4 linked regions of the Arabidopsis thaliana genome follow. The protein of the gene in region 2 binds, or shares a complex with, the protein of the main gene of each other region. Each region holds a gene or a part of one and is shown on either strand. Other genes may lie near its edges.

Evidence for each region.
Region 1: LSM2 (region 2) and EMB2816 share a complex: the UniProt entries of both Arabidopsis thaliana proteins name them as parts of the heptameric LSM1-LSM7 complex.
Region 3: LSM2 (region 2) and LSM8 share a complex: the UniProt entries of both Arabidopsis thaliana proteins name them as parts of the heptameric LSM2-LSM8 complex.
Region 4: LSM2 (region 2) and LSM1A share a complex: the UniProt entries of both Arabidopsis thaliana proteins name them as parts of the heptameric LSM1-LSM7 complex.

What each region holds. Positions count from the first base shown.
Region 1 is NC_003071.7:1,176,084-1,184,031, forward strand, and holds EMB2816 (Small nuclear ribonucleoprotein family protein), read left to right. Parts: upstream 1-3,887; 5' UTR 3,888-4,041; intron 4,042-4,133; exon of another isoform or gene 4,134-4,175; 5' UTR 4,176-4,222; coding exon 4,223-4,225; intron 4,226-4,310; coding exon 4,311-4,392; intron 4,393-4,494; coding exon 4,495-4,566; intron 4,567-4,883; coding exon 4,884-4,936; intron 4,937-5,083; coding exon 5,084-5,173; 3' UTR 5,174-5,429; downstream 5,430-7,948. Other genes in the region: AT2G03850 (Late embryogenesis abundant protein (LEA) family protein), read left to right, coding at 157-514; REME1 (Pentatricopeptide repeat (PPR) superfamily protein), read left to right, coding at 5,477-7,369. UniProt on the Arabidopsis thaliana protein: Component of LSM protein complexes, which are involved in RNA processing. Component of the cytoplasmic LSM1-LSM7 complex which is involved in mRNA degradation by promoting decapping and leading to accurate 5'-3' mRNA decay.
Region 2 is NC_003070.9:815,519-823,626, reverse strand, and holds LSM2 (Small nuclear ribonucleoprotein family protein), read left to right. Parts: upstream 1-4,063; 5' UTR 4,064-4,329; coding exon 4,330-4,332; intron 4,333-4,548; coding exon 4,549-4,707; intron 4,708-5,346; coding exon 5,347-5,466; 3' UTR 5,467-5,693; downstream 5,694-8,108. Other genes in the region: AT1G03350 (BSD domain-containing protein), read left to right, coding at 1-793; AT1G03340 (uncharacterized protein), read right to left, coding at 2,400-2,889, 2,961-3,032, 3,126-3,468, 3,550-3,730, 3,844-3,915; AT1G03320 (uncharacterized protein), read right to left, coding at 5,860-6,452, 6,531-6,600; DBE1 (debranching enzyme 1), read right to left, coding at 7,004-8,108. UniProt on the Arabidopsis thaliana protein: Component of LSM protein complexes, which are involved in RNA processing. Component of the cytoplasmic LSM1-LSM7 complex which is involved in mRNA degradation by promoting decapping and leading to accurate 5'-3' mRNA decay.
Region 3 is NC_003070.9:24,432,278-24,440,422, reverse strand, and holds LSM8 (Small nuclear ribonucleoprotein family protein), read left to right. Parts: upstream 1-4,128; 5' UTR 4,129-4,181; exon of another isoform or gene 4,182-4,250; intron 4,251-4,528; 5' UTR 4,529-4,552; coding exon 4,553-4,589; intron 4,590-4,684; coding exon 4,685-4,725; intron 4,726-4,818; coding exon 4,819-4,893; intron 4,894-5,236; coding exon 5,237-5,313; intron 5,314-5,594; coding exon 5,595-5,646; intron 5,647-5,725; coding exon 5,726-5,778; intron 5,779-5,869; coding exon 5,870-5,960; 3' UTR 5,961-6,220; downstream 6,221-8,145. Other genes in the region: AT1G65710 (serine/arginine repetitive matrix-like protein), read left to right, coding at 1,999-3,366; AT1G65690 (Late embryogenesis abundant (LEA) hydroxyproline-rich glycoprotein family), read left to right, coding at 7,525-7,987. UniProt on the Arabidopsis thaliana protein: Component of the nuclear LSM2-LSM8 complex which is involved splicing nuclear mRNAs. LSM2-LSM8 binds directly to the U6 small nuclear RNAs (snRNAs).
Region 4 is NC_003070.9:6,603,607-6,610,867, forward strand, and holds LSM1A (Small nuclear ribonucleoprotein family protein), read left to right. Parts: upstream 1-4,508; 5' UTR 4,509-4,681; coding exon 4,682-4,742; exon of another isoform or gene 4,743-4,890; coding exon 4,891-4,959; intron 4,960-5,046; coding exon 5,047-5,162; intron 5,163-5,265; coding exon 5,266-5,328; intron 5,329-5,478; coding exon 5,479-5,556; 3' UTR 5,557-5,763; downstream 5,764-7,261. Other genes in the region: AT1G19110 (inter-alpha-trypsin inhibitor heavy chain-like protein), read left to right, coding at 1-90, 171-440, 540-696, 783-860, 953-1,053, 1,158-1,328, 1,433-1,507, 1,582-1,689 and 1 more; AT1G19115 (uncharacterized protein), read left to right, coding at 2,745-2,750, 2,838-2,898, 3,006-3,307, 3,433-3,577, 3,860-3,879; AT1G19130 (RmlC-like jelly roll fold protein), read right to left, coding at 5,939-6,259, 6,367-6,488, 6,814-6,949. UniProt on the Arabidopsis thaliana protein: Component of the cytoplasmic LSM1-LSM7 complex which is involved in mRNA degradation by promoting decapping and leading to accurate 5'-3' mRNA decay.

The sequences.
Region 1 (7,948 bases), on a different chromosome or scaffold from region 2:
TTGAGAGTTTTTTTGTTAACTTTATGAAATATTACACATAAATTTGGTTTTCATAAAATGGGAACACTAAGTATATAAATTTGGTTTTCATACAAAACACATTTTTATTTGTTCATGTGTAATAATTTTGTAAATTGTCACACACACACACAAAAGACAGAAAGCTTCCGACTACGTGAAGGAGAAGGGAAGCGAAGTGGGACATGCGTCTGCTCAGAAAGGGCAAGATGTTAATGATCATGTAGATAGAGCAAAGTACTATATGTTTGAGAAAGCTAGTGAAGCAATCGACAATGTGGCTGAAATTGCTCAGTTTGCTTCGGAGTTTGTGACGGAGAAAGGCAAGGAGACGAAGAAAGAAACTGCTTCAATATCGGAGAAAGCCAAAGACTTCATTGTTGAAAAAGCCGGTGAAATTATAGATATAGCGACGGATGTGAGCAAGAAAACGGCCAAGTACGTCGGAGATAAAGCCAAGGAGGTTAAAGAAGCTATAATGCCTCCAAAAACTTAAAGTAAAGATTTGATGCAGCCCTAAACATATACGAGGTCTTGAGGCAATGTAGCAAAAAATATGTATTATTATGCGAGATAATGAAACTGTTATAATCAGAACTCTAAGACACGCCTCTTTAATCATTGGAAAATTCTCTTCTAAGTATGTAGTATGAGATAATAATTAGGATCCTCCTAGCAAGGTAATGATGCCTAGAAATAAGGATACAGTAACCCAAGTGATCAAACCGGACTGCAACAAAACCAGAGAAAGTAACAGATCGATCAATTTCAATTACGGTTATCATTTGAATTAACCGGTATTAACAATCAAACCGGAGAAATGAAGAATCGGTTTTTACGCTTATGGTTGATCTTGTTTCTTCCTCAGTTTTGTTCCACAAACAAGAATAAGATCGCTTTATCTGACAATAACAAGACCAGACATTACTTTTGCAGTCCATCAGCTAAGTCAGTTCATTTCAGTACCATCAGATGTTCATCTTCAAGCTACATACAAAGTGCTCATGTATATTAAATCTAACCATGGTCAAGGTTTAATGTACTCAGCTGATTCAGAATTATGCTTGAATGCTTTTGCGGATGCGGACTGCGGAACCTGCAAAGATACACGTAGATCAGTTACTGGTTATTGTGTTTATCTTGGTCACTCTTTCATGGAAACTAAAGAAACAATCAGTAGCTATTCAGAGTAGTACAAAGCCTGAATATAGAAGTCTTGCTCATGCCACTTGTGAGATTATTTGGCTACAACAGCTGCTTTAAGACTTACACATCAAAGTTACTTGTCCGGCAAAACTCTTCTGCGACAACAAATCAGCTATCCACATTGCTATGAACCCGGTATTTCATGAGAGGACTAAACACATAGAGATAGATTGCCATACAGTTCGTGACCAAATCAAGGCTGGTCATCTCACTACTCTACATGTTCCGACTGAGAATCAACATGCTGATATTTTGACAAAACCATTACATCCCGGTCCATTCCATCATTTACTTCAGAAGATGTCAATTTCAAATCTTTATCTTCATAAACCAGACACTTAGAACGTAAAGGTTTGAGAGGGGCGTATTATGATATATGGTGCGACAGGTTAACATCAGTTATCTGATGGTTGGTTTAGTATGGTTATTAGTGATGTATATATAAGCTTAAGTACACTTTATTTAGATTAAGATTTTGTAAAAACATTTACATGATAATAAAGATTCTGTTAGATATGAGTTTTAGCTCTCCTCTGTTCCCTTCTCTAGCTTGATCTCTCCGGTGTATCAGACTTCAATAGTTTATAATTTACTTTTCGATAACGATTATGATTTGTCCAAAAAATAAAAGTGAAACCAAAATTTAATTAAACAAGAGGGAGATTATAAAATAGTCCTCACTACGGCTGGACACGAAAAAATATCCTGAAAATTAGTGATATTTGTTATTCGATTCGTTTTAACAGAATAATTGATTTTATGATTTGCTTTCATCCAAAATATTCGGATACCCGAATTTTTTTTGTGATGATTATGGATATCCACTTTGATATATCTATTTTTTTTATATATAAATTATTTGATATAGTTTTAAAATAAGTTCCAAAACACACATTGTTGATATCACTGATCAAGAAAATGCTATTAAATTAATTCTAAAAACCAAAATCCGATAGTTTAAGATGCCACTAACATGAAAGAAAAATGACCAAACTAATAACTTAACACAATATATCCAAAGGAGAAAAACTAAAGTTACAAATACTACAAACCCAAAATATACAATTATACAAACTATATTATGATATCTACATATATATACATGACTATATATTCTAACTAGATAAGGATCCGTCCGATGGACGAATTTATTTTTTTATAACTAAAATTAAATTCAGTAAAAATAATAAATAATGACGTTGTAAGTAGAAATTATCTTTCAAAAGTAAAATATATTTATTTTTACTGTTTATTGTGTTTTTCACCACTAATATTATTGATTAAAAATTATTTGAATGAAAAATATATCACATTGACTAAAACCCTTTATATATAAAGATGATCTATCAACGTTGACTAAAAACTTTTGAAATCATGACATATGATAAAACTTTTGATTGATAACTTATTCATGATAATATTAGTTACTAATTTTGAGAAAAAAATCTATTATATTATTTATAAAATGTGATATCCGTCAATGCTGAAGATAAATGGTTTTAGTAGAAAAGCATTTTCAGGCCGATTTGACCCGACTGAGTTCAAACGGATGTATGTGGAGCTTTTACAAAATAAAGTTGACTCATTTTTAGTTATCTATTTTGTATTTACTTTATCAGCGTTGGATTAAGTAAGACAATGACAATCTTTGGAAGTTACATCGTCTCGTTGGAATACGCACAAATGAAGTCTCACTCAGGCTACGATGACCAATCCAAGCAATAGAGGAGAGATTAAGAGTCTTAGAGTCAAACTGGTCTGCAAAGAACTTTATAAAGTGATGAGGATCAAATGTAGAAGATTTGAAGATGACATAGAAGAAATTTTCGAATTCACATGTAATTATAAGTCTTTTGGTTTTGATTCATGAATAAAGTGATTCTTTCTTCGTTAATGATTGAGATTTCGGTTTAGATTTTTTTTTTAGTCTAAATTAAGGTCAACAACACGTTTGAATCTTTATTCATCTTTTTTTTACGGCTCTAATATCTCTTAATTTTACTCGATTTGGTGTTATTTAAATTTCGATTCGGCCGTTGAATACCTGAAATTTTGCTAGGTCAAGTTATTCAAATCTTTTTAACAGAGATATTTACTATTTGCGAGTTTATAAATGTGTGTGCATTTTTCGTAAAAGAATCAAAAATTTCTTTTTTGGAGTTTTGTGTCGATAGATGGTTAAGAGATTTTACCAAATGATTTACTTTACGACTTACAAGTACTTCACAAGTTCATAGTTAAATTTTAAAAGCGTTGCTCAGAATTAGAGGTGGATCAAACTTATGTTTCGTTTTAATTTTATTTTTGGTTAAATTTGTTAGTAATTGTTTTTAATAGGTTGTGCCGTTGTGGTAAATTTGCTTTGTGTTTACCAGTTATCTTGTTTTTTAAACATCTATTTTATTAGATTAAAAGTAAGGAGTATAATGACAATGCTAAATTTAGTTGTCTTTATTGTAATTTCTATTCAGATGATGTTTATTCTTCTTAGCTAACTGAACAATTGTATTACGATTTTATTAATTCCTAACTAATATCCCCTTCCAATTTTATTTCGGGTTTAGTTAACAATTTAATGTTTAGTTATCGGTTTATGGTTCAATTTACGGTTCAGTTCAAATAATATGGTAACCATGGTTAGGGATTTAAACCAGAGTCCTTTACGAGATCAGAGTTAAAAAACAAAAAGCGTCACTAGGAAGCTGCGACTATTTGACTGACTCTGATTTCACGCGACTCCTTGTGAGATTCTCCGATTGCTTCGCCTGAGTTTCTGGGTTAACTCTCCACGCCGTCACTTTGATCTTTGCTTTTCCGGTGAGGTTTCTTCATCCACTTGTTGATTTCCGAATTCACACATTTTCCGAATCCACTTGGGGCCAAAGAATTGCAAACCCTAATTTTTAATCATCAACTCTATTCTGAACCAATTTGATTTCCGTTTTTTGCAGATCTTTAGGGTTTTTGTTTAGGGAATTGTCGAAGACTCTGCTCTAACATGGTAAAGTTTAACCTAAATTGAAGTAGCAAAGTATCATTGTTATATGAGTCGAGTTAATTCTTAAGCGAGTGTTTGTTATTCACAGTCTGGAAGAAAAGAAACGGTTTTAGATTTGGCCAAGTTTGTAGATAAGGGTGTGCAAGTTAAGCTCACTGGTGGTAGACAAGGTAATAAAACAAGTGTTTCTCTCATTATGCTCCAAAGATGATGATTCTTTCTAATGTTTTCTCTGAGATTTGTTTGATAGTTGCTATGTTTTTTGCTTGCAGTGACTGGAACTCTTAAAGGCTATGACCAATTGCTTAATCTTGTTCTTGATGAAGCAGTCGAGTTCGTTCGAGGTATCTTTTATCTTACCTATATCTACTGCATTGATCTTGTTAGGCTACAATTCTCTAGTGGAATCCGCCTCTTAGTAAACGAATCTCTGTATTGCTATGAAGTTTATTACTCTGGTTCATACAGATGTCTCCATGATGCCATTGGAAGATATATGGAAATTTTGATTAGAAGAGACTGTTTGATTGCTTAATCATGTTATGTTGGTGATATGAATGGGATGATTTCATTCTCTTAGCTAGATTTTGAAACTAGAAGTGGGATCATATTTCCATAGATCTAACTCAGTTTTATGACCCTTGTGTTATGTTTTGATCAGATCATGATGATCCTTTGAAGACTACGGATCAGACAAGACGCCTTGGTTTGATTGTATGATTCATTTACCTTCTTTTTTCATTACTATAAGTGTAATCCTGTTTAGTGCAAATAATATCATTGTTTCTTCTAGCATCGTGTTATTTGTAATGGAGTTCCATAGTTTAGATGCTAAATCATGATGGTTTGTCTTGTTTTTAGGTTTGCCGTGGAACAGCGGTGATGCTTGTCTCACCAACCGATGGCACCGAAGAAATCGCTAACCCGTTCGTTACTGCAGAGGCTGTCTAAAGACTTTCTTCTCAAAGAATATGTCTCTCTATTAGTTTAACTTGGCGATTTAGAGAGTATTTCATCTAACTCTCTGGTGTGATGTTGGAAACATATATGTTCAATTTAAACAATTTGGAACATCATGGACACTTACCTAACTTCGTTCTCAAATCTCGTTGTGCCAAAGCACAAAATCTCCTTAACCAGAACTGAAGTAAACCGGAAAAATCGAATGTCTGAGTCTTCTCGTTACTGAACCATGGATTTATAAGCGAGTGATTTGAAATTTTTGAAGTTGTTTCCATAGTTTTAGTGGAGACGATGAAGTCAGTAATGTCAAAGATCAAACTTTTTAGACCAGTCGTCACGTTACGTTGTTCTTACAGCTCCACAGATCAAACTCTTCTTCTTAGCGAATTTACCAGACTCTGTTACCAGAGAGACCTTCCCAGAGCTATGAAAGCAATGGATTCATTGCAAAGTCATGGTCTTTGGGCAGACTCTGCAACTTATTCTGAGCTTATCAAGTGTTGTATATCTAATAGAGCTGTTCATGAAGGGAATCTCATTTGTCGTCATTTATACTTCAATGGTCATCGACCAATGATGTTTCTGGTTAATGTTCTGATCAATATGTATGTAAAATTCAATCTTTTGAATGATGCTCACCAACTGTTCGATCAAATGCCTCAAAGGAATGTTATTTCTTGGACTACGATGATTTCTGCTTATTCTAAGTGTAAGATTCATCAAAAGGCTTTGGAGCTTTTGGTTTTGATGTTGAGAGATAATGTGAGGCCTAATGTGTATACTTACTCTTCTGTTTTGAGATCTTGCAATGGTATGTCTGATGTTAGAATGCTTCATTGTGGGATTATTAAGGAGGGGTTGGAGTCTGATGTTTTTGTTAGGAGTGCTTTGATTGATGTGTTTGCTAAACTGGGTGAGCCGGAGGATGCTCTTTCGGTTTTCGATGAAATGGTTACAGGTGATGCGATTGTTTGGAACTCGATCATTGGTGGGTTTGCTCAGAATAGTAGAAGCGATGTAGCTTTGGAGCTTTTTAAGAGGATGAAGAGAGCTGGTTTCATTGCGGAGCAGGCTACGTTGACTAGCGTATTGAGGGCTTGTACTGGTTTGGCTCTGTTGGAGCTTGGGATGCAAGCTCATGTTCATATCGTGAAATATGACCAAGACTTGATACTCAACAACGCACTCGTGGACATGTATTGCAAGTGTGGGAGTTTGGAGGATGCTCTCCGTGTGTTCAACCAGATGAAGGAGAGAGATGTGATTACATGGAGCACTATGATTTCAGGGTTGGCACAGAATGGTTATAGCCAGGAGGCACTGAAGTTGTTTGAGCGTATGAAATCTTCTGGGACGAAGCCAAACTACATTACGATTGTCGGGGTTCTCTTTGCTTGCAGCCACGCAGGGCTCCTGGAAGATGGTTGGTACTACTTCAGATCAATGAAGAAACTTTATGGAATCGATCCAGTGAGGGAACATTATGGTTGCATGATTGATCTGCTTGGAAAAGCTGGAAAGCTCGACGATGCAGTGAAGCTGTTAAATGAAATGGAGTGTGAGCCAGATGCTGTGACATGGAGAACTTTGCTTGGTGCTTGTAGGGTTCAAAGAAACATGGTGCTAGCGGAGTATGCAGCTAAAAAGGTCATAGCACTCGATCCCGAGGATGCAGGAACTTACACACTATTGTCTAACATATACGCAAACTCTCAGAAATGGGACAGTGTTGAAGAAATTCGGACACGAATGAGAGACAGAGGAATCAAGAAAGAACCTGGATGCAGCTGGATCGAAGTAAACAAACAGATTCATGCTTTTATAATTGGAGACAATTCTCACCCACAGATAGTTGAAGTCAGTAAGAAGCTGAACCAATTGATCCATAGACTCACTGGTATTGGCTATGTTCCTGAAACAAACTTTGTGCTACAAGATCTTGAAGGTGAACAAATGGAAGATTCACTTAGACATCACAGTGAGAAACTGGCTTTAGCCTTTGGCTTGATGACATTACCTATTGAGAAAGTCATTAGGATAAGAAAGAATCTGAGAATATGTGGGGATTGTCATGTGTTTTGCAAGCTCGCATCGAAGCTTGAAATCCGCAGTATCGTTATACGAGATCCGATCCGTTACCATCATTTCCAGGATGGCAAATGTTCTTGTGGTGACTACTGGTAACAATCAGATGACTTTAGATTACTATGAAACAGAGTATAAGATGGTTTAGAAGATTGTTTCTCTGCAAGTTTTCTTCATCAAATTTTTTGATTAGTGAATCATTTTTGCTTATGAAGAAGCTCATTGATTTGCCAAATTTTCCTGATAGGATTTTGTAACATTTGCAAAATTGAATATGTATGATAAAATTGGTCATTGGAGTATGGAGACTCACTAATTTAGTAATTTGTGATAAAAAAGAGTTTCTTCAGAATAACATGTATTTAATTGTTTCCTATAAATGTATAGCAGTTGAGTTAATGGGAAGACACTTGCTGCACATGGATATGGATCATGTATCATAATTTATGCTTAATCTCTCTTTATTTTTCTGAAATAAAAATCAGTATAATAGTCAAAAAGTGTTCAAAGCTGAATTGTGCATTATGGAGACAAGATCTTTTATGTCCAAAGTGGTTTAATCTCATTATATATTATGATTCACTATTACTCATGTGGACTTAAAAGTGCCATCGTAGTCGCTTTATTCATTCGATACCTAATGGACTTCATAATTATATTGAAATTATTTTTTATGAC
Region 2 (8,108 bases):
AAGGGTCGTTCCGAGTATGGTTGATCACGAGACCTTCTGGTTTAGGTATTTCTATAGGGTTAACAAGCTCAAGCAAGCTGAGGATTTAAGGGCTAATCTTGTGAAACGAGCCATCTCTCTGGATGATGAAGAAGAATTGAGCTGGGATATTGATGATGAAGAGGAGAGCAGCGAGAAAGTTGTTGAAGCTACCAAAGATGTTTCAAGGTTGAAACTTGAAGGGAATGATGGTATGGGTGGTGGAGATGTGAGTGAAACTGTGAAAGATGAAGTGGAAAGTACATATTCAGTGGCTAAAGTGAGCACGCAAGATGAAGTGACAAGTGCAGATTCAGTGACTGAAGTGAGCAATGTTGGTTTGAAGACAGATAAAGATTCTGAGGAAAAGAAGGAGACTGATAGTGAGGAAGTTCCAGAAGAAAAATCATTTGTTGATGCTGCTCCTCCTGCGTCTGATGAGGCTCCAATCCAAGATTCTGTCAAACCAACATCTGATGAGGCTCCAATCCAAGATTCTGTCAAACCAAAATCTGATGAGGCTGCTCCATCCCAAGACTCAGCTAAACCAGATGTGGCTGCTTCTTCATCAACTCAACAACCATCTGAAGAGGATTTGGGATGGGACGAGATCGAGGATATGAGTAGCATAGATGGTAAGGAAACGAGTCGGTCTGGTGGTAGTCCAAACAGAGCTGAGCTGCGTAAACGTCTGAGTGCTGCAGAGGAAGATGAAGATTTAAGTTGGGACATTGATGAAGATGACGAAGAAGAATCATCATCATCCAAAGCTTAATGTTAGTTTTAAAGTGGTGTGCTTTCTTACTTTTGCCAATCCTTTTACTTGTTTTTACAAGTTTCTGGCGCTTTGCCCCCATTCTTCAGTTGTTTTTCTCTTCAACGTTTCTATTTTACATTGATTTGAAAATATGTTTTTAAATTTTACTTGAGAAGGTGGTTTGAGGAAAGTTTGAATATATTCATCTTGCGATAGTCATTCTCTCCAGTTATTTTGAGTATATCAATCAACTGACCCCTGCGAATTCGGAGCTTTAATTGTGTCAAAATTAATCTCAATTTCTGTCCTTTGTGAAGAACCAAAAAAGTTAAATATTACAAATTGTAAAACTTTTAAAATTAAAACTTCTTAAAACGTTTTAATATTTATAATTTTAAAACTCTTATGAAGTTTTATATAATATATATATTTAAAAATATATTAATACGGGACGATATAATACAATATATTTAAAACTTTTTTGAAGTTTCAAATATTATATAGATTTGAACTTTATAAGAAAATGACAAAATGATGTTTAATTTCACAGAACTAGGATATATGGTGAGACGGTTTGGATCAATATTAATACGGAATGATATACTATGGTAAAATTCTAAAATTAAACAAAATTTACAATATTAATACAAAAAATAACTTAAAATTTCAGAAATTTAGTTATATAAATCATTTCGAGATGTATCATACATAAAAAAAAGCAATAGCATATATCTATAAATCATCTTTAAAACAAAAAAATAAAAATTTTTGAGAAAAATATAGGCTCGTTGTGTACTTCTTAATATGTTTATCATTTATAAATACTATTAACTAAAATAAAATCTTTAACTTGTTAACAAAAATATAAATACGTTGTGTACCCGGATGAATATCTAGTTATTAACAAAACTGTACCATTTGTTTTGTAGAATTTTACTTATTATTTTATTTTTTGGACCAAACCAACTTATTATTTATTGGCATGTCTAGTTAGGGAAAATGTTTCAATTGAACATGTACCGTATGTGTGCATGTATAAATAGAAATTTTATGATTGGATTTTAATAATGCAACGAATCGATGTGAAACTATTAGTGTAAAACCACAATCGACGTCCTTTGAGAATTTACTGGTAAGAAGAACACAGAAAAGGATAGAAAAGGATCTGGATGGATCCAAGAGAAACCCTCGCGTGAGTAATTAACCCTCACTTAAACCCCAATCACCATTTCAAGGCGAGAAAGCAAGTTGTTTCTTGAGTAATCCAAGTTGTTTCTATTTTGCGATTTTAACGGGTCAAAGATTTGCTCTAAGGGAAGGAGGTAGAACAGTTGGAGCCGGTGTGGTATCAAAAGTGATGAGCTAAGTCGCTATAGCAGATTTAAAAGTTCTTCAAACGAAAAAACACAACTGTTCTCTAGTATCTAAAGATTCATCTCTCATGAGATTTCTACTACTTTGAGAGTTTATATCAAATAAACGAGAGATTAGTGTTTTAAAAGAAAAGCTTCTCCCAGTGTGATATCTTCACTTTATTCTACAACCTAACATTGACAAATTAACCTTTAAGCAAGCCAAAGAATGGAGTTAGAAACTAGACTCCAAATCATCAGCATTCCAACATTCAACCAAACCTAAGTGCAACCATGGCAATAACTGTGGCAGCTCTGAAGTAAACTTCTTTGATTCTTCTTTCCACTTTATTTGAGACTTCTTCTTCGTTGATTGTTTTCCTATTGAAATTAACAAGGGCTTCCCTGAGTCTACTCACAGACCACGAGAGCAATACCAAACTCAAACTCATTGCACCCTCGAAGAATTGGTTTGCGCAAAAGGGTACCTGCCTGGAAGCAACATTACAAACGAGAAAGAAGAGCACAGCCATACCAGTGCCAGCAAAGCCAATTGAACACTGAGTCAAAAGCTCGAAGAGTTCTCCACGTGATTTCTTTAGAGATAGCATTGTGGTTTTTCTATGTTGTTCATTGCCTATCATCAGAGAGAGAAGGCTCTCACACGCATGAAGACGGTTTCGTTCGTAGAGGTCATATTCCTTATCTCTTATCTTCGGATTTTGTTTCTTTGGTGAAGGCTTGAGCCTGGTTTTCTTCGGACTGTTGGAAATCGAAAGAAACGTTTTTTAAAGATGCAAAAGTACCAAAAACTAGTTGATGATATTAGATACCTCTTTGGAGGAGCTAGTGTAACTGCGTCCTCGGGTAGCTGCAGAGTGTCTATTGGTACTTCACTGTCGAATCTGCAGAATGAGAGGAGAGCAAAAACTTAATGTTAAACCCAAAAGGATGAGACTCATAGGTATGAATCAAACTTGCAGTGAAGAATTAACTACCGCTGAAACTGCGGGACAAGCCGTGAGAGCTTTCTCCATCTTGTTGAGTTCCTTAATCTATGAAACTCAGCTGCCGTAGAGACCAAATCATTCAATTCAGCTCTGCTACTTGAGAACAGAATGTTAGCATCCACCATGAGATCCAATAACGGCTTTGCATATGGTTGCTGAGAACTTGATCTTAAAGCATCTAGACCCATCAATTCAGATAGGAGAGACAAATCGAATCCTTCTTCTTTGAGTTCTTCTTCTGATCTAGACAAAAGGAACTCTAACACCTCCTCTTTTCTTGCATACTGCTGAGTGATCCCCAAGCTTAAACACACAGGGTCTGGTCCAGTTTCTGTTAACCACAGTTCATGTCAGTCGAAAAAAGGGATTACAATTTGGTGAATTCAACTGAAATTTGATCAAAGTCACATACCATGAACATCCATGAGTCTATGCTTCATCATGGTTGAATCAAACTCCAAAAAGTGGTTAGACTTACTAAAAGAAGAAAAAGGTTTCAATGGCTCCAAGAGTTGTGATTTCAGGTTAAAGGAGCTCTCCGGTAATATCTCATATTTTCTTCCTCCAGGATTCACCAGATAAGCCCGGCTTGTCTGAATCATTCATAGACATAAGAACCAAACAAGGAGAAGACAGAACCAGGACAAGAATTCAACGAGAGATTCTAAACCCAAGTGTTTTAAAACAGAGAAAGTAAAAAACTGACCTTGATGATCTCGTTGCTTCTTAGCTCTTGAAGGAGACTAAACCTAAGTGTTGAATAGCTATGAGAAGCCATTGAGAAAAAACTGACTTCTTATTTTTTTTTCTCTTCTTCGTCACAAAACCATGGAAACAAAACGAAAAAGCTTATCGTCAGCAATCTCGCCTATATATGCGTCAGATATTATAAGATTTGTGTAAATCTTTTCTTTATTCAGTTTTGGCTGGTGACCAAAACACACTTTGAGTTTTTAAATATTTACCCTTTGAGGCACTTATTACTTAAATTACCAAGAACATACCCAATCTTTTCAATAATTACATAAATATACCTTTGGTTTCTTATATTCTCGAAATTAACCCAAAGATCATTAGGGTACATACATTCTTTACTCGAGAGAGAGAAGTTCTAAAGTCCTCAAATCCCGCAAAGCTTTTTCAGCTTCTTTGTTGAATTGCGAGCAGAGGTAGAAATCAGCAGGAAACAAAAATGGTAAATTTGAATGCTTTCTTCATCTTCATGAACTTGATTGTTGGCAGTTGTTTTGTTTGACCTAGAAAAGGTTTCTTCTTTCTTCGTAATTATTCATGGGTTTACTCTTTTTTAGCCAATGGTTCTAGGGTTCTTGGAGATTTCGAGTTTATGGTTTTCGATGATGATTTAGGGTTTCTCGTGATGGGTTTTGATTGTGTTTGTTCTCTGGTGCAGTTGTTCTTTTCTTACTTCAAGGATTTGGTTGGACAAGAAGTGACGGTTGAGCTGAAGAATGATTTAGCCATAAGAGGAACTCTTCACTCAGTTGATCAGTATCTGAATATCAAGCTCGAGAACACTAGGGTTGTTGACCAGGACAAGTACCCTCACATGGTAAATTTTCTTTCTTTTAAGCGATTTCTCTAAGAATTGGGAATTTAGGGTTTATTGGAGCAGCCTATTGTTTTTTTTTTGTTCACATAGGCAATATTTTCTTTGTTGTGTGTGCTTGAAGTGCTCTTAAGTGTTTGACATTATACTGGAATTGATCTCACTCGCTAGTTTCTTGCTATACTTCTTTGTCTCGTATTGTAAAATATCACTTATGAACTGATTGAAAGCTTAATCCTTGGCTCTTGCAAATGTGTTTAAGCCTTCACTCTTTTCTTTTTCCTTGCTTTCATTTACTGTGACCAAGCTTGAGAAGCTCTAACGTGATATTGATTAGATTTACAGACGCAAAGGGATGATTTGAAGTGATTAGTGGTTCTGGTTCACATATTTGATTGAGATTGCTGCTTTTGTACTGCAATTTGTCAAGTCTACTCAGGATTACAAAAGATTTGCAATATGTTTGCATGACCAATTTCAATGCATTTAGGTTTTATGGCGTTTATATTGTTATATCTTTGGCACTGTATTTCTTTATCTTGTCAGTGTCACACTTTAGAAACCTTGTCAAATAGTACAATTTCGCTAGAATCCTCCCGAAGATGTTTTTAGCTGACGGATTTGTGTGTTTGTTCTGTGTAGCTTTCAGTGAGAAACTGTTTCATCAGAGGATCTGTGGTAAGGTACGTGCAGTTACCTAAAGATGGAGTCGATGTTGATTTGCTTCACGACGCAGCTAGAAGAGAAGCTAGGGGTGGCTGATTCTGAAATATCTTTGTATCTCCAAAACTTGAATACTTTTCATTCGGCGTAATGGCTTTATAATGAATATTTCCCTGATGTAGAGCCAATGGTATGGCCATGAATCTTGTTCCATTTTATTAACAATGGATAATTTAATTTCTTTTCCTCGTTCAAATGAAAAGCTTATTAAAGCCTACTTAGAAACACCTTCACTCTTGTCAGGCTGTCACTACTTAAGTTTTTCCCTTTCTTAGATGAAGCAAGCAGAGGAAAAACATATAGACTCAGTAAGAAGGAACTTATATAAAGTAATATGAGTTCTTGTTTGCATAGCAGCAATAGGACCTTAACTCTTGTCATTAATTTAGTTTCTTATTTCTGAGATGAAGCAAACAGAGGAAAAACATAGACTCATGAATAAAAATAGGAGTAATTTTCTGCATAGGTAGTGTAACGCTTCATAGGATTTGCATCCATGTACGGTCTGGTTTGCCAATAGGGGAAAGGACCAGCTGCAGCCATATACGGATATGCTGCAGCCATAGGCGGATATTGTGAAATGTGAACACCATCGAACATTCTGGGTCGAGGCATGGATTGGTATGGATCAATTGGACCACCACAAGGTCCACAACCACCATATGGTCCATGCATTGCCCCCATCGAAAACGGGGGATAATGGCTTCTCGAGGCTGCGGATATGGGCCACCGGTGTAAAGGATTGTGTCCACCATGGTACATCATCGGTTGAGCGGTGTAACAAGGCGGCGGCGGGTTCACACCATTTTTCTCGCTTGGCAAGTTTTTACCACCATTTTCCTCGCTTGACAAGTTTTTACCATCACCCTTCTCTTTCTTTGTACTTGAGTCTTGTGGCCATCTGAGGACGTTCTTATTCTTCTTATCCTTCTCATCTGATCCTTTCTCCCCATTGGAATCTTTTTTCGGATTCTCATTCTTTGAAACTTTCTGTTTTTGTTTCACATCCTCTTCATCAGGCTCATCTGTGCATCATAAAGGCAAAAACTTTAAGATTTGTGAAGATAAAAGTAAGAAATCTTCAAATAGGTTAAACAACTCACCTTCGTTTTTCTTCGATTTCTTCTTCTTCGTTGCTTTAACCTGACACTTTGAGCAGCAACCATCGTTCATTTTTCAGATCACGTTCCTGCTGCTTTCAAAGAAAAAATATAGCTACAGAGAATAACTTGAAGAACTTTTTTGGGTTTTACTTATAGAATTTGCTTAAGATTATAAACCCTAAGCAATCCATATCTTATCCTATCTATACAAAATAAATAAAGATTATATCAATCTTGAAGAAAATCATCTTTCCATATACATACTCGTTTGAATCCATAAAAGGCATACGCGTATCAGAACGAATAATAATCACTGATTTGAGGAGATACAGTATCAAGCTTTGGATACAAGCAAAAGGCTTAAGTGATGTTATATATATATAAGATATTGTGGAAATCATTGATTTAACTGAATATATTCTTACTGGAAATGTAACAAAACAGTAACATATACAAAGATCATAACTTGAGTTCTAAGCGGTAGTATTGATGGTTTCAAAAAGGGTACAACTGTACGGCTTCATCTCATACACAACCAGTTGCTGCAACGGTTCTTCTGCTACAACGGTTTCTCCTTCGACAGAGAAAAACCCCGGGAAAGGAAGAGCTGTGTCGACCAATCTTCTCCATTTGCTTCCATCGGGAAGTGAAGGTAAGACTACACTCTCAGGATGATCACTCGCATTGAATCCGATGAACAGATCATTGCTCTTTGGCTCATTTGGCTCAGCCAATGACGCAGTTTCCTCTTCCTCTGACTCTGATTTGATCTCCAATGCCAAAAACTTAGAAGCAGGATCTTCCCACTTTGGAGTTGTTTGGTCATTTGCATACCAAACAATATTTTCAGGTTTCAAAAAGTCTCTCCTTTGAAACACATCACTTCTTCTTGCTCTTACTGAAGTCATGAAGGAGATAAATTGCGTGATCTGTGTACCGAAAGCCGAAGCTAGCAAGTTCCAATCAAAAGGTTTCCGTGATTCCAACAAAGGCGAGCCCCTTGTCGAGATTCCACATTCATCTCCCATATTAAGCACTGGAACTCCAAGTGATATGTACTGTATAAACAAGAAATTGCGGATTTGTTTTAGCCTTCTTTGAAGAACAGCTGATTTATTCGTTGCTCCTTCTTCCCCACAATTCCAACTTAGCTCTGAAGCTAGCTCAGGGCCACTGAAACTGACTATGTCAACAAGCGAGAGTCCTGAGTTTCTTGAAATGTAGTTGAAGGAGAAGGCCGGACCTCTTCCATCGGTAAATACGTCACCACTTCCACAAATTCTTGTAGCCAGATCACTAAGAACGCCTCTTCCCCTTAAAAAATTTCTTACATTTCGACAATATCTTGTGTTGAGTTCTGCCCATCGCTTCCAATGTGGGAACCGTACTTCTTTTGGCATCATTTCAAGTGGATCCCAGCAATCAGCTATTAGTTTGGTCTCCGCAAGAAGTGGATCAAAAGCTATTGCTTCAACCAAAGGAGGACGAGAGAGCTGTTCACCGTGAACGCCTCTCAAGAGAGATGAAGCATTTATAAAACAAAATCCATCTACATGAAACTCGGTTACCCAATAACGC
Region 3 (8,145 bases), about 24 Mb from region 2:
TTGCTTATCTATGTTGTTGCGTACAAGTAAATTCGTCTCTGTTATGGATTTATCTAAACTTACTATACTCTAAGTATCAGTGTTTTTACGATTTGTAGTTGATGTTTCTTAGATATATATAAGTGTGATTATGATGTTACCTATGGATTTATTCATTATCTTTGATACCAATGTGACTAGTTTAGGAGCTTAATACTTAAATGGATTGATCATCAAAGGAACCAAGGTCGTGACTCGAGAAGTCTGTTTCTTGTTTTCTTTCTGACTTGCTAGAACCTAACTTGGTCGCAGGATATGTGTATGGTTCTCATAGCCCCATTTTGTGGTTTAATAGCTTTCATTCTTTCAAGCACTGATTAGCTAGAACCTAAGTAGGTCGCAGGATATGTGTCTGATTCTCGTTAACCAATCTGTGTTTTGAACAGCCTTCAAGCATTGGGAGTGTCTAGTTTTCTATTGCTTATGGTCATATGTGTGTATGGTTCTCATTGCCCCATTTTGTTGTTTAATAGCTTTCAAGCATTGCATACTTAAGGTAGTGTCTAGTTTCGGTTCCGTTTCTTGTAATCTTACTGACTAGCTAGTAGCTAGACTTTTTAAGTAGGTAGCAGGATATGGGGATGACTCTGGTTGACCCCAATCTGAGTTTTGCATAGCTTTCAGAGCATTGAGAGTGTCTAGGTTCTATTGCTTATGGTCATCTGTATATATGGTTCTTATTGCCCCATTTTGTGGTTTAATAGCTTTCAAGCATTGTGAACTTTAGGCAGTGTCTAGTTTCTGTTCTGTTTCTTGTTATATTTCTGACTACCTAGTAGGTAGACCCTTTTAAGTAGGTCGCAGGATATGTGGATGATTCTCATTGATACTAATTTCTGATTTGCATAGCTTTCAAAGCATTGAGAGTCTCTAGTTTCTATTGCTAATGGTCATCGTTGTGTATGTATATAGCTTAAAGGTTGATGTCTTGGATGCAGAGGAACAATTAAGTGCCTTATTCTCTCTAGTCTAGTAGTTATTTGCCTTGTAACAATCCTTTGTTATGTTACTATTTGATTTGAGGTTGTTTTATGTATGTAAAATCCAGTACCTAATTGTCTTGGTAATAGAATCTATAGATGTCTCAAAATCGGTCCGATTTTCGATTGTCAACACAAATGGTGCAAGATTTTGCTTTCTACATATATACTCTTTTCTTAAAAAACTACCTCAAAAGAACCTAATTGTCTTGGTACTCTTTTCTTAAAAAACTACATATATATTCAAAAAAACTACCTCAAAAGAAATTGTTTATCGTTTCTTTTTCAGTATTTTAGTTATCTGATAAAATAAAATAAAATTGTTTTTGGGTCCTCCACTATACATATGAAGAAACTTGCACATCACCATTCAGTTTGGTCACATGAGTTAATATTAATGAAAGCACTCGATTAACAACAAATATCATTAATCAAACTCAGTAAATTATTTATACATAAAACGAAATTTTATTTTCAATAGAAACTACTGATGTTTATTTCTTCATATCCTAATTTGTAACCTCATATTCTTTTGGTAAACAAACAAAACCATCAAACATGCAAATAACCGTTGGAATTCTAAAACTTATTAAAAGAATTTTTGAAGAGAACCATTTTGCTTTGAAAAAGGCAAAAAGGGTCAGAGATAATACGACATTGACTGCAGTGTGTATAACGGCTCCAATTTCAAAATTACTATCTTTAATAAAATAAATTAATTCCACTTTGACCCCATTATTCTTCAAAGCTTACAATTTCACCCGACTTTTCTTAATTTTAGAAAGTAATGGGTCCTATCCGAATACTTTCTGAAATAAAAGAACTTTTGTCTGTCACAAATCGCATTACCAAACAAAAAAGTTTGAAGTTTTGAATCTTTTTGTCTTCTTACACAAAAGACATTCCCCTAAAAACTCTCTTGTTCTTGACTCACTTCTACTTCAAAATCTCTCTGTTCTTCAAAATTCTTTGTCACAAAATGGGTTGCTGTCTCAGCAAGAAACCTTCCCCTTCTCTTCCCTCTAGTGTTAAACCCTCAGATCCAATCAAACCCATGGAACCAGTGATTGAGCCTTTGGAGGAAGAAGCAAAACCCAAATCTGAGAAACTGAATCAAGAAGAAGAAGAAGAAGAAGTTGTGGTGATAAAACACACAAGAAGCCATGAAGAGAGATCCAAGAAGACAGAATCAGATAAAGATTCTCCAGTTTCTTCTCCTGTGGCGGCTGAGAAATCGAATTCTACACCGCTTGTGAGAATCTCTAGCTGTACTAAAGAAGAAGTTGATGCTATATTGATACAATGTGGGAAGCTAAGTAGAAGCAACTCTGCTGCTAAAACAAGAAGATACTCTGGTTCTAAAAGAAGCTTTGATTTTGACCAGAACGAGAGAATCCGCGGCGGCGATGCGGCGGAGGAAGACGGAATGCAGCGAAATCGTCACCGTGGAGTAGAGAGAGTGCATGGTTCGCCTCGTGAACGGAGAAGACGAACTCCGAGTAGAGAAAGAGAAAGATCGGGAAGCAGAGAAAGAGGAAATGTCGGCGGTGGCGGCGGTGGTAGTAGGAGAGTGAGTAGATCTCCGGCGAAACGTTCTGAGATTCGTAACGCTGATTCGTGTGGCAGTTCGGTAAATTCGAGTAATAATAGACCGGGAAAGTTTGTTACGATTCCTGCAACGGATAAGAGTAACAATGTAGAGCCGTTAGTAAAACGGATTACGGTTAAGAGAAACATCGGAGACGCTTGCAGAATAGCGGCGTCTCCGAGGTCAAAATCTCCGGCTAGAGCGGGGAATAATGTTCCCTCGCTAAGCCGGAGTAATTCAAGAAAGGCGGAACAATCTCCCTATAGAAGAAATCCATTGGGAGAGATTGATCAAAACACTAAGAAGATGATAGAATCTGTGAAACCTAATTCAAGAACAAGTAGAGGTCCAAGCCCGAGTCGTGTTGCTGTTGTAGAACTTACGAAAGCTCCTCAAGTTGTGTTAAGCAGAAGCAGATCGTTGAGGAAATCTCGAGATTTCGATTTGGTATCAAACGAGGATAACAATTACACTGCATTGTTGTTGAAAGATATTCAGAGTTTTCATGGGAAGAGTGTTGATGATAGCGTGATTTCGCTGCCATTGTGTGTTAGTAAAGCTTGTTCAATTGTTGAAGCAGTGGCTGATCTTAACTCTATGACGAACAGAACTTGTTTGAGGTCTGATTCGAGCCGGTTTAGATTCACATCGACGGTGAAGAAAGCCGATCTTATGGAACCGAGTTTTGAGAAGTATGTGACTGTGAAGAGAGGTGGTGGTTCGTTGGAGGAATCATCTGGTAGCAACAATGTTACGTGACTAGGGAGATTCACTTTTAGCAATAACAGAAACTCGTGTTGTTGCGGTTTAATATGGAGAAATTGTTGTTTTGTTTGTCTATTGTTGTTTCCTTTGTTTGGTTTATTTTGTAATTCAGATGTCAATTTGACAATTTCAATGAATCTTCTTCTTATCTTCAGTCTGGCATAAAACCCAAAAAACCTGTATCGGACCCGAAACCAAACCAAATAATCATATAACCGGAGAGACTTTTAAATAATTTTACACGAATTATCCCAACTGAACCCGAACAGAAACAAAAACCAAACAGTATATCTGAAAAATCGAAACAATATCTACATATTCAAAATTATTAGATGTTTTAAATTATAATTATACCTTAACCAATTAACAAAAATATCCAAAAATATCTTAGATATATTATATATATCCAAAATATCCGAAAATTCTTAGTATTATACCTAAACTAAATGACAAAATTATATATTTTTTGTAATTCAATTTTTATTAAAATTTTGAAAAAATATGTAGTTTTTTCCAAAAACCGAACCAAATAATCATAGAACCCAAATATATACTAAATTTTTGTATCGGATGAATCCAAAAAATCTAAACTGAATCCGATCTGAACCCCGAACCATGCATACTTGGTGGATTAAACAGTTCGGTTCAGGTGAAAATTTTCAGAATTGTCGGTTTCGGATAAAATAACTAAACCGGATAAAATGTTCGGTTCGGTTTGAGTATTTCTTTTAACATTTCGTAGTTAAAAGCAACATCCAAAAGCAAAAACACACGCCGGAGAGTTTTCTAAGAACAACAGTGACGAAAAGGTTTTTAGGGTTTCTTTACCAATCAGAATCTCCGCCAAGTAACGATTTTCAGATTCCGAAGCAGCAAAGGTTAGAGCTTTTCCCTCATACGTTTCTTCTTCTGAATTCCTTGAAACCCTCCGGTGAACCAGAACCTGTTTTACATTCGTTTTCTATTCGGTGGTTTCTTTTAATTTAGGTCAAATTACACTGGAATTATCATTTGTTTCTCGTAATTCTGGATTTATGTTAAGTTTGGTGAAATCTCTCGTTGAGATGGATACGAAATCTATTAATTTTTCATTGTTATCCGTAAGCACACCAAGTGTTCGATGAAATTCCTAGTCTAATTTTTAGTAACCTTTCAGTTCAAATAATTTCCGAACTGTAACATGGCGGCAACTACTGGACTTGAGACTCTCGTCGATCGTAAGTTAGTCTTTTTTTTTGCCATTCTCGATTGATATGTGATGTTCTGTCACATGAATTGTCTAAAGATCTTATCTTTTGATTGGTTGCTGCAGAGATTATTTCGGTGATTACAAATGACGGACGCAACATTGTGGTATGTTATACTCTCTTGTGTGATATCTGGTTTAGAACTCCTTATGTCAATGCAAGTATCTTAGTAAAGAGATCGATTTTTATATTTTTTCAGGGAGTTCTTAAAGGTTTTGACCAGGCTACAAATATAATCCTTGATGAATCTCATGAACGTGTGTTTTCCACAAAGGTTAGCTTCTGATTCCTGTTTTAAAGTATTTTCATCTGAACTTTTCGATGTTACTAAATTGAATGGGTGCAAATACATTTTTCTGCAAGTAAATTGGCCAGTGTATGACCTGCAAAACCTTGTTGGTTTGTATCCATGAGTGGCTATGATGTAGCAGAGTTCTCGATGTCTCCATATTTTGTTTGTAGTGATCGCATAAAACTAGAAAAATAGAGGTACTATAAGGATGCTAGTTTATCTTTTGTTCATTGTCACTCAAAGCATCTTTCGTCGTCTGGTATTGATCTTTTAATTGGTACTACGTTCTTGCTAATAATGTACATTGCTTGATTTAGTTGCGTAGTGTCATCTTTTCAACAGAATATTGAGGAAACTTACTCAGATATTTAAGATAGGCCTTGTCCTACAGTTCTTTGTTTGGTAAGAGAATAGTGAATCATGAACTAACTGGCCTCTGAATGGAAGTATCTAAATCAGATAGTGTTGGATACACCGAAACAGATTTAGTGTTAGTATTCTTCGAGTGTTATAACTGATTGAAAAAATCTTGTGAGTTCATATGTCAAAAGATTTAGCTAGTGATAGGTAAGTCAAATACGTAGATATTGGCAGTGTGTAATTAATTATACATGATCACCTCCTTTTTTTCGTAAGAGGGTTAAAGGTTTGATTCATGTCTGTTTTCTTGTTTACACTAAGAGTATGTCAGGTCATGTTGATACTTCATTAGACAAATGTTCTTGGATATTTTTGGTGTGAAGGCAGAGTTCTGTTAAAATGATGGATATTGGAATTAGGATTGAGACCTCTTACTATGTCTTCATCTTTGCAGGAAGGAGTACAACAACATGTGTTGGGTTTGTACATCATCAGAGGGGACAACATGTAATTCTTATCATCCATCATCATCAGTGATTTTCTAACATTGCAATTGTTTTTTTGTTTCAATAAAAAAAATGGTGTCATCTTTGATCAGAGGTGTTATCGGGGAGCTGGACGAGGAGCTTGATGCTAGTCTGGATTTTTCGAAGCTGAGAGCCCATCCGTTGAAACCCGTAGTGCATTGATTGAATATAGTTATGGTGAGAAAATCTAATTCTCTCATTCAAAGCCTAAAAACAAAGAGAAGATTTGATTGTAAACAATTTGGATAGTTTGTTTTGATGTCTGGAGTTGTCTTATTTGTGTATCCTAAGGACAAAAGCTATATGATATTTTATGTCTTAAACGTTTTGGTCGGAAACTTAAATCATACAATCTTTTGGACGGACCTAGGTTTGCTACTAGACCACAAATTCTTTGATTAGAAAAAAAACTTTTATTGTTAACCAAAATTTTATAGATATTCAAATTGCAAAAGAAAAAAAAAAGAGGAATTAGTTTCTGGTATCTTACAAATTATAATGTCGTTGCAATTTCATCTAGAAGGATTATATACATCATCAAATCTATCAACATCAACAAATGGCCGTATTTAAAACTTAGAAGCATCATACATTTTCTATAAGACAACAATATAGATATTAACTTAATATGTCATTCTCCCATAGTCGCATCATACAAGTCGTTGGTTTTGGTAATAACTCGCCAAAACCAAACACTTCTGATTTCATCGGAGTCTTGGGTCTTCTTTTACGATTCCAATGTAATATTCTTCATATTAAGTGATTTATTTCTTGAAATTTTTCATAGTAAGTGTTATCAGAAGCTTTTGATTTTTGGTTATTAATATGAAGAACAAAAGAATTGCGTTCTAAAAATTTTTCGTTGATAACGATTAATATTAAACAGAAACACTACAAATAAATTAACATCGTTGGGGCCTAGGGATTTCGAATGGAATTTTATTTGCAAAAAAAATAATAAAATAAAGCATGTTAACAAAAAAGTAAAAGAAAAAAAATTCATGACGAAATGCATGAGAACACTGCTGCATAAGTCTTAGGGGATTAGGTCAACAAAAGTAAAGTAGATCTTCATCAAATGTATTTTGACTTTATAATGTACCTATTAGTCAAACTATATGCGATCTAAATATTAAAAACTTGTATTTTCTCAAAGACAATGCGAGGCGTAAATATATGAAATTTTATTTTGTAGATTAAGTACCATTTATATATGAAATATAAATAAATCAAGAAGAGTAAACATGAAAGAGCAAAAGAGTAAATAGAAAAAATTATAGGAAATAAAAAGAAACAAATAGTAATTGGAAAATATCTTAAGTGGATATAACTTTTAGTTGTTTGATAATGTATAGGACTACAATATATGTATTTTCCAAAAAGTCATCCTAATTTTTCCATCTATATTGCAAGTAATTTGATACCTACTAATGATTTTTATTTTTTTTATTTGATGGGTTCACATCAAACTCAATTTCCATAAAAGACCGCTACCTAAGCAGACACGCAAATTCACATTACACGTGTGATGTGTTGTATGGAAGCGAATGTACTTGTTTTTCATAATCTATAGGTTCATATAGAGAAGTCTCTCCATTGAAAAGTTCTTCCCTCTTGACTTTAAAAACTCCATAAGGTCCCTACTTATATTAATTTCCCAAACCCCTAAATAAGATCTACAAACAAAGCTTCTTCTTCTTCTTGGTGTCATCAAGATTTTCCAAAAATGTCTCAACACCAAAAAATCTATCCGGTCCAAGATCCAGAAGCCGCAACAGCGCGTCCAACAGCTCCTTTGGTTCCTCGTGGTTCCTCTAGATCAGAACATGGAGACCCATCCAAAGTCCCTTTGAACCAAAGGCCACAACGGTTCGTGCCGTTGGCTCCTCCAAAGAAGAGAAGAAGTTGTTGTTGCAGATGCTTTTGCTACACGTTCTGCTTTCTTTTGCTTCTTGTCGTTGCAGTAGGCGCATCCATTGGTATACTATACCTTGTCTTTAAACCGAAGCTACCGGATTACTCTATTGACCGGTTACAGCTCACCCGGTTTGCACTGAACCAAGACTCGAGTTTGACTACGGCTTTTAACGTGACTATAACCGCTAAGAATCCGAACGAGAAGATTGGAATTTATTATGAAGATGGGAGCAAGATTACCGTGTGGTACATGGAACATCAACTAAGCAATGGTACGTCACTTTTGGTTTACTCCGGTTTGCTTTCTTTTGGTTTTTTAACGTAGGAAGGCTTCAAAATCTCACTACAAAACCGGTTTATTTGGTTGATTTCTGTTCTTTTCCTTTGGTTTGGTTCGTACACAAGGAAGACTTTAAAACTCTTTTCAAAT
Region 4 (7,261 bases), 5.8 Mb from region 2:
CTTTTCCTTCAATCTGCGCCTGTTCACGATGTTGATCAGAGGGACATATTTTCTTTCTATCTTTTTCCAGGAAAGCAGCAAAAAACTAAGGTTTGATTTTTAACTCTTTCTTTTCTCTAGCAATAAATTCATTTGCATTTTAATCTTAAGTTTTGTTTTGTCAACTTTAGGCATTCAAGCGGGAGGTAGTATTTGTTGTTGACATAAGTAAAAGTATGACTGGAAAACCTCTCGAGGATGTAAAAAATGCGATATCTACAGCTCTATCTAAGCTTGATCCTGGAGATTCTTTCAATATTATCACTTTCAGCAATGATACTGCTCTATTTTCGACATCAATGGAGTCAGTCACTTCTGATGCTGTTGAAAGAGGCATTGAGTGGATGAACAAGAACTTTGTCGTCGCAGATGGTACAAACATGCTCCCTCCCCTAGAGAAGGTCTTTCCGCCACTCATTTGTAGCTTAACATTTTGGTGATTATATCCCCTCTGATTGAATCCTGACATTAATTCGGCTAACTTTGTTCAATACTTTCAGGCTGTGGAAATGCTTTCAAATACTCGTGGCTCTATTCCTATGATCTTCTTCGTAACAGATGGGTCTGTTGAAGATGAGAGACACATTTGTGATGTAATGAAGAAACATCTAGCTAGTGCTGGATCAGTGTTTCCTCGGATACACACTTTTGGGTTAGGTAAACTTTTCTCCAAGGTTTTGATGTTAAATAACCCGGATCGTTTTATTTACCTTTTCGTTTTTGGATTCTTTGCAATATTTCAGGTGTATTCTGTAATCACTACTTCCTGCAAATGCTTGCAAATATATCCTGTGGCCAGCACGAATCAGTTTATAATACAGGTGAAACTTTGACTCTGTTTGGTGAATTAAAGGAAAAAGTTAACATCTGTAATATAGTTTCTTAAACAATGTTCTTCTTCTTTGATGTCCAGATCACATTGAGGAAAGAATGGACAAACTGTTTACAAAGGCTTTATCCACCATTCTTGTTAATATAGCAATTGAGCCCCTTCAGAGTCTAGATGAAGTTGAGGTGTGCCTCTATGCTTGCTTGACTTTTCTGGGATTTTTGTTTCCTTCCGATTCTGTGAAGTTGATGCCTAAAACTGAAACTGTTACCTGTGACTACAATAATAGGTATACCCTTCAAATATTCCGGATCTGACGTCTGCAAGTCCATTGATGATATATGGAAGATACCGAGGAAAGTTCCCCGAGAATGTGATAGCCAAAGGTCTGCTAGGAGATTTGAGCAGCTTTTCGACAGACTTGACTGTACAGAGTGCAAAAGACATGCCTCTTGATAAAGTAAGATCTACGTCCTGCTCAGTATCATTCCTATGGAGCTTCTTTCGATAAAGACTTCTGGGTTTATTCATAATTCATCCTTTTCCCTAAATTTTAATGTTCAGGTATTTGCAAAGAATGTTATTGACTTGCTTACTGCTGAGGCATGGTTTTCTGAAGATAAACAGCTAAAAGAGAAGGTTTGTCTACAATTCACTTCCCCCACTGCCTCTTTCAGGATTTGCTTCTTCATTTTGCTTTATCTTCTTCGCAGATTGCTAAACTAAGCATCCAAACCGGCGTACTATCCGAGTATACTCGAATGATCCAATTAGAGAACACAGAAGAATTGAAACCCAGCGAAACTGGCGGAAAGAAAAAGGTAGGTACTACTCATTTATATATCTAGAAGTTATGAACTAAAATCGCCACATTCAAGCAAAACCTAGTGATTAATTCTGTTCCAGAGGACCAATCCAGACTCATTATAACATATATTCACTAAATATTTCAACAGACAACAAGCAACGGCGAGAAACAGAAGATGATATCAAGAACGATCCCGCTACAAAGCCTTGGGATAGGATTTGGGGATAAAACAGCCACCAGAGAGAATGTTCCGCCAGGATTTGGCGAGCAGAAAGCTCCTGATGCTGCTGAGAAGTTCGTCAAGGCTGCTTCGAGCTGTTGTGTCTCCTTGTGCAACAAATGTTGCTGCATGTGTTGTGTCCAATGCTGCTCTAAGCTCAATGATCAATGTGTCCTTGTCTTCACACAGCTCTTCACAGCGATTGCTTGCATCGCCTGCTTTGAATGTTGCTCAACTGTTTGCTGTTCTGGAGACGATGGGTAGTTAGTTAAATTATAAAAAAAAATCGGTTTTGAATTCGAGTGTAAAGCTTTAAAAGTTTCAAAGTAAGTTTGTACATTTTACATACACACTGCATGTAATTTCTGTACGGCCTGATCAAATATAAAAGCTGTGGGTTTTCTGTATAGTTGCTACAGGGAAGAGAGTGTAAAAGAAGGGACAAATCCATGTGTTTCCTTCACAATTTACTCGATTTCGATCTCTTAAAATGGTCCACATATTATAAGTATATAACGCAATTGTGGTGTACCAACAAAGTCCACAAAGATGGGATCAAGTGCTACAAAAATGGTGACTTGAAGTCGTAAGAAACTGATATCGAGGGTGTATAGAAACTTGAACCCAATTTTCTAATCGCTGGCTTTTTGCTGGCTTCTGGGACTTGTGTTTACTGTGTCTTTAAAAACATGGGACCACTTGATCATCTTTATCTCCTAAAGCTATTTCAAGAAGTAAAAGATCATTGACAGAAAAAGAAAATTTCTTGGAGAACATTGACAGAAAAAGAAAATTTCTTGGATAAACACACACATACATGTGCTTTTATATATGCATGTCTCTGAAATATGAAGGTTGGTTTTCATATATGTCTAAATCAAATTAATAGTGTTGATCTTTCTTTGATCGTGCAAAAATCTTGATCTTGTTGTTCTACACAGATTTTTAGTTGGGTTCAAAGAAAGCTTAGCGGAAAGAAGCGTGTGCCTACTTCAGATTCTTGTGAGTAAATATTCTTATTATTCATAGACTACATGAACAGTCTTCGCATAAATCATTTGAGCATATTTTCATATTTTTGTTTCATATGTTTGATGATGTATATATAGCTCAAGAACCATCAAGTCCTCCTTTGAGTAAAGAAGTCCAAGGTTTGCCTCAAGACGAAGAAACCTTCTTAGCCATCGGAACACTTGGAAACAATATCTTCCCCAAGCAAGAAGAAGAAGAAGAAGAAACAGATTCTAGCAAAGATATAACTCCGGTTAATACAGATGTTACTATCGGGAAGAAGAAATCGCTTTCTTTTCTTCTCAAGAAGATGTTTGTTTGCACAAGTGGCTTCAAAACTCCACCTCCTCTTCTTGATTTATCTAGAGGAGATTCATTGCACAACACACGAATGGAAAAGGTAAGCATATATGATCAAATTATTCAATCTTTAAACAAAATATTATTTTTATTATGAAAAGAAGTGAATTCAATAATAGTTATGTACACTAGAAACATTTTTTCCATATGTTATTTTGTGTGTAGATGCTAAGGACAATACTCAACAAGAAGATACATCCACAACGTTCAAATTCTATAGCAAAGAAGTACTTGGAAAGTAATCATAAGATTATGGATGAAGCTCGTTCAAGTGTTGACGCCAACAAATGGGTCAAGACTGATTCTGAATGTGAGATTTTCTAAAATTATATATATTTGGTTTTTCAGGTCGCAAAAAAAAAAAGTTTTATTTTAAACATACAGATGGTGTAATTAACCAAGTGAATATCATGACTGGCTTTATTGCAGTATTTAGTTAGGTCAAAAGCATATAATAAACATCATAAGGACTGAATTAAAATGCAGAAAGATGAAAAGTAAGAATTTAAAAATAGATAAATAAACAAATAGAAAAATGTAAACAAGAATAATGGATAGGGTAAATTAATTTAAATTTCTTTGATGGTTACAGATATTGTCTTGGAGATGTAGATATCAACCAATAAGCTAAATGGACCTGATTGATAGTCATGGTAATAATAGAATGTAAATAAAAACCAAAGTTTTTTCTTATTAAAAATTGATTTTCTATGTAAAATATAAAAAGTAGCAAACAAACATGATCACTGATTCAAGACAAATAATCAAAAATATGTTTTTCAGGTCTCAATTGAGTGATGGTGTAAGTTCAACTGTTCAAGATATGAAGAATAACATTGGAGAAGGGTCATAAAAATATCTCTGATAATCAGTGTTTACAGATGTATATTTACTTGTCAAACTCCATTTTTCATCATAGATTTGTTTTTATTTTTTCAGATTTTAATGTGGTGAAGAAAATCTGTTTGCTCATGTAAACTACAAAATATTCATCTTATCAAATAATTTTATTTGTATTTATGCAGTTTGAAATAAGTGATGAATAATGAAGAATGACTGAGATTTCTTGTTAAATAATAAAATGAAATGAAGGAAAACCCAAATGCAAAATAAAATGGGTTGATTATGCAATAGTTACGAAGTTTTGGGGTTTTAATGTATTTTTCCTAAAATTGAAAAAAAAACTCAGTCTGACCAAACTTTGACAGAACAGAATCGTGCGAGCCGTCAGACTTAACGAAAACGATCCATAGATCTCAAGTCTCTCTCTCTTAGTGAATAAATTAGGGTTCGTTGATTCTCTGTTCTTAAGCTCAGTAATCGAGGAGAAGAAGAAAAGGGAAGATCGGGAATTGGGAAACTGAGAAGTCAAAAAGGCAAATGCGAGTGGAGGAGATTGAGTTTTAGAATTCCAATGTCTTGGGCTGCTCCTGATGATATCTTCTTCTCCACTTCTCTTGCTGCTTACCTAGACAGTAATCTCTCTCACTCTCTTTCTCATTACTGATTCACCGGCGATGAATTCTGTAAAAAAATAAGATTTTGATCCCCAATGGTTGTTGAAGATGTTATCTTCTTCTACATGATTCAATAGTCTCTTAATGTTTTGATTTCTTGTTGCAGAGAAACTTCTTGTGTTGCTTCGTGATGGTAGGAAACTGATGGGTCTACTTCGGTCCTTTGATCAATTTGGTACTTGTCTTTCTCTTTTGCACCGAAAATCCAAAGTCTTTGAAATGGTTTTAAGAAATGTTTCGTTTGTTTTTGGTTTTCTTGAAGCTAATGCTGTTTTAGAAGAAGCTTATGAAAGAGTCATTGTGGGTGATCTCTACTGTGATATTCCCTTAGGTCTATACATTATCCGTGGAGAAAATGTTGTCTTGATTGGTGAATTGGTAAAGCTTTTACTAAACAAACCAATTCCTCTTGCATTTTGAAATGAAAGTTTCCACTTTTAAGAACGATTTCGGTGTTTGAATCGGGTTTCTGTGATCTTAGGACGTGGAAAAAGAAGAGCTTCCAGCTCATATGGTTCAGGTTCCAGAAGCAGAGATAAAAAGGGTTAGTGCAAATATCCTTCTCTCCCTTGTTGATTGCTTTAGCTCTGATTTGTGAGCTTCTTGCACAAATGTACTACAGCTGATTTGCTTTTATTTGGTTTAGTGTTTTGGATTCTACTGACTCCTCAATTACTCTCTTCCGTATACTCAGGCTCAGAAAGCAGAGAAGGAAGAAATGCTTTTAAAGGGCACAATGCGGAAAAGAATGGAGTTCCTTGATCTCGATTAGGGCATTTTCCTATGTGTTGCAGCATTGTAGAAACTAGAAGATCTCAAGATGGAGGATACAGAAGATCCTTAAACGTCATAATGTTAGTTGATGTGTGTATGTGTGGATGACATTGATGAATCCTCAGAACTTAGTCGTTGCAGATCCTCTGCTCTGTTTATGGAATGAAATTGTTGAGCCTGTTCTTTACTGGCCATTTATTTGATCAATCACAATTCAGTAAAAACAAAGATACAAAGATGAAAAGTGAACTCAAAGTACAGTTACAACCTTTGTATGATTCATATGAAAAGTTGAAGTAACAAAGCAAACATAGTATCCTTCTCTTAGTAGTTACCAAAAACCATTGAGCCAATAAGGCGTCTCCTCTAGGTAGGCCCTTTCACTCCGGGTAAGATAGCATTGTGATGAGTGACTCGTGTTGCGGAAACCTTGATAAGAGATCAGAGCGTTTCGCGAGCTCAAAGTCCTCGAACTGGAAAGCAGGAGCGCAGGTGCAGCCAACAAGAGAGAAATGGTTCTCAGAGTCTCTAGCCTCAGCTTTAAGCAGAGCCCCGTCTTGAGAAAAATGAACATCCTTTGTAGGAAACGAACCAAACCAGACGTTTGGAGGGACCGTGTACTGAGGCTTCTGATCACCTTCAAACAAGTCAGGACCAAGACATGTGAATTTCAACTTCCCATCATCGTAGAGTTCCACTACCTGATCAAGGCAAGAAGAAGAAGCCATATTCAAGAACATGGATTATATTCTTCTTCTCATTATACAGTTTTGTTCACTCACTGTAAAGACAAGAGCTTTGAACTTACAGTAAGGGGTTCACCCAAATAAAAGTGCCAGGTTTCAGCCATTGGTATGCGATGAAGACGAGAAACGCTCCCAGATGGAAGCAAGAAGTAGATACTTGTGCTCACAGCTCTGTCCACCTTAACTGCAGAGATTCAGAAAAATATATAAAAAAGGATCAAACTTGCGAGATGATCTGCAATAACCCAAATCCAAAGTTTAAGCATTGATAATAAGATTTGTGAATAGAAGATCCAAGCAAATTCACAAGACAAGCATTTGGATGATCTTGGTAACAGGAAAGACAAGAATTCTACGGAAGCCGTGACTTATGTCTGATCAGATTTCGGAGGATCATACCGCTGAAATCTCAAAATGCAAAATCGGAAACTAATGAAGACACTATATCAACAAGATTCCAAATCAAAGGAAGACATAGATAGATGCAAATAAACGAGGAAGAGAGCTACAGGTTGGAGGGAGCTGAGAGGTGGAGAGGAAAACAGAAGAATCTCTGAAAGTTTCAGCGAAAAAGCCTCCTTCTTGGTGTGCCCTGAGATTAAGTTTTCCGACGATTTCTGAAGACTTCACCATCTTTGACGACATCGATCTCTCTCAAGCTTTGTCGAAACTCCAAATCTCAATTCTAACTTGGCATGAGTTCAGGTTTGTTGTTACTAGTCTTTACTCTTTAGTAGTCTGCTGTCCAAAATTGACTTCTCCAAATCTTTTTGGGGTCAAAGTAAAAGATTAAAAAAGCTGTCTCTACAATAAGTGCCCATATGTTTGTTTTCGAACAATAAACACCCTACCAAATTGAAGTAGACCAAAATTACAAGTTTCCAACTCTGTTTACGCACAGAACAACCAAACACAGAACAGGTTTCATCCTTATTTACAAATTAAAGATTTCAAACT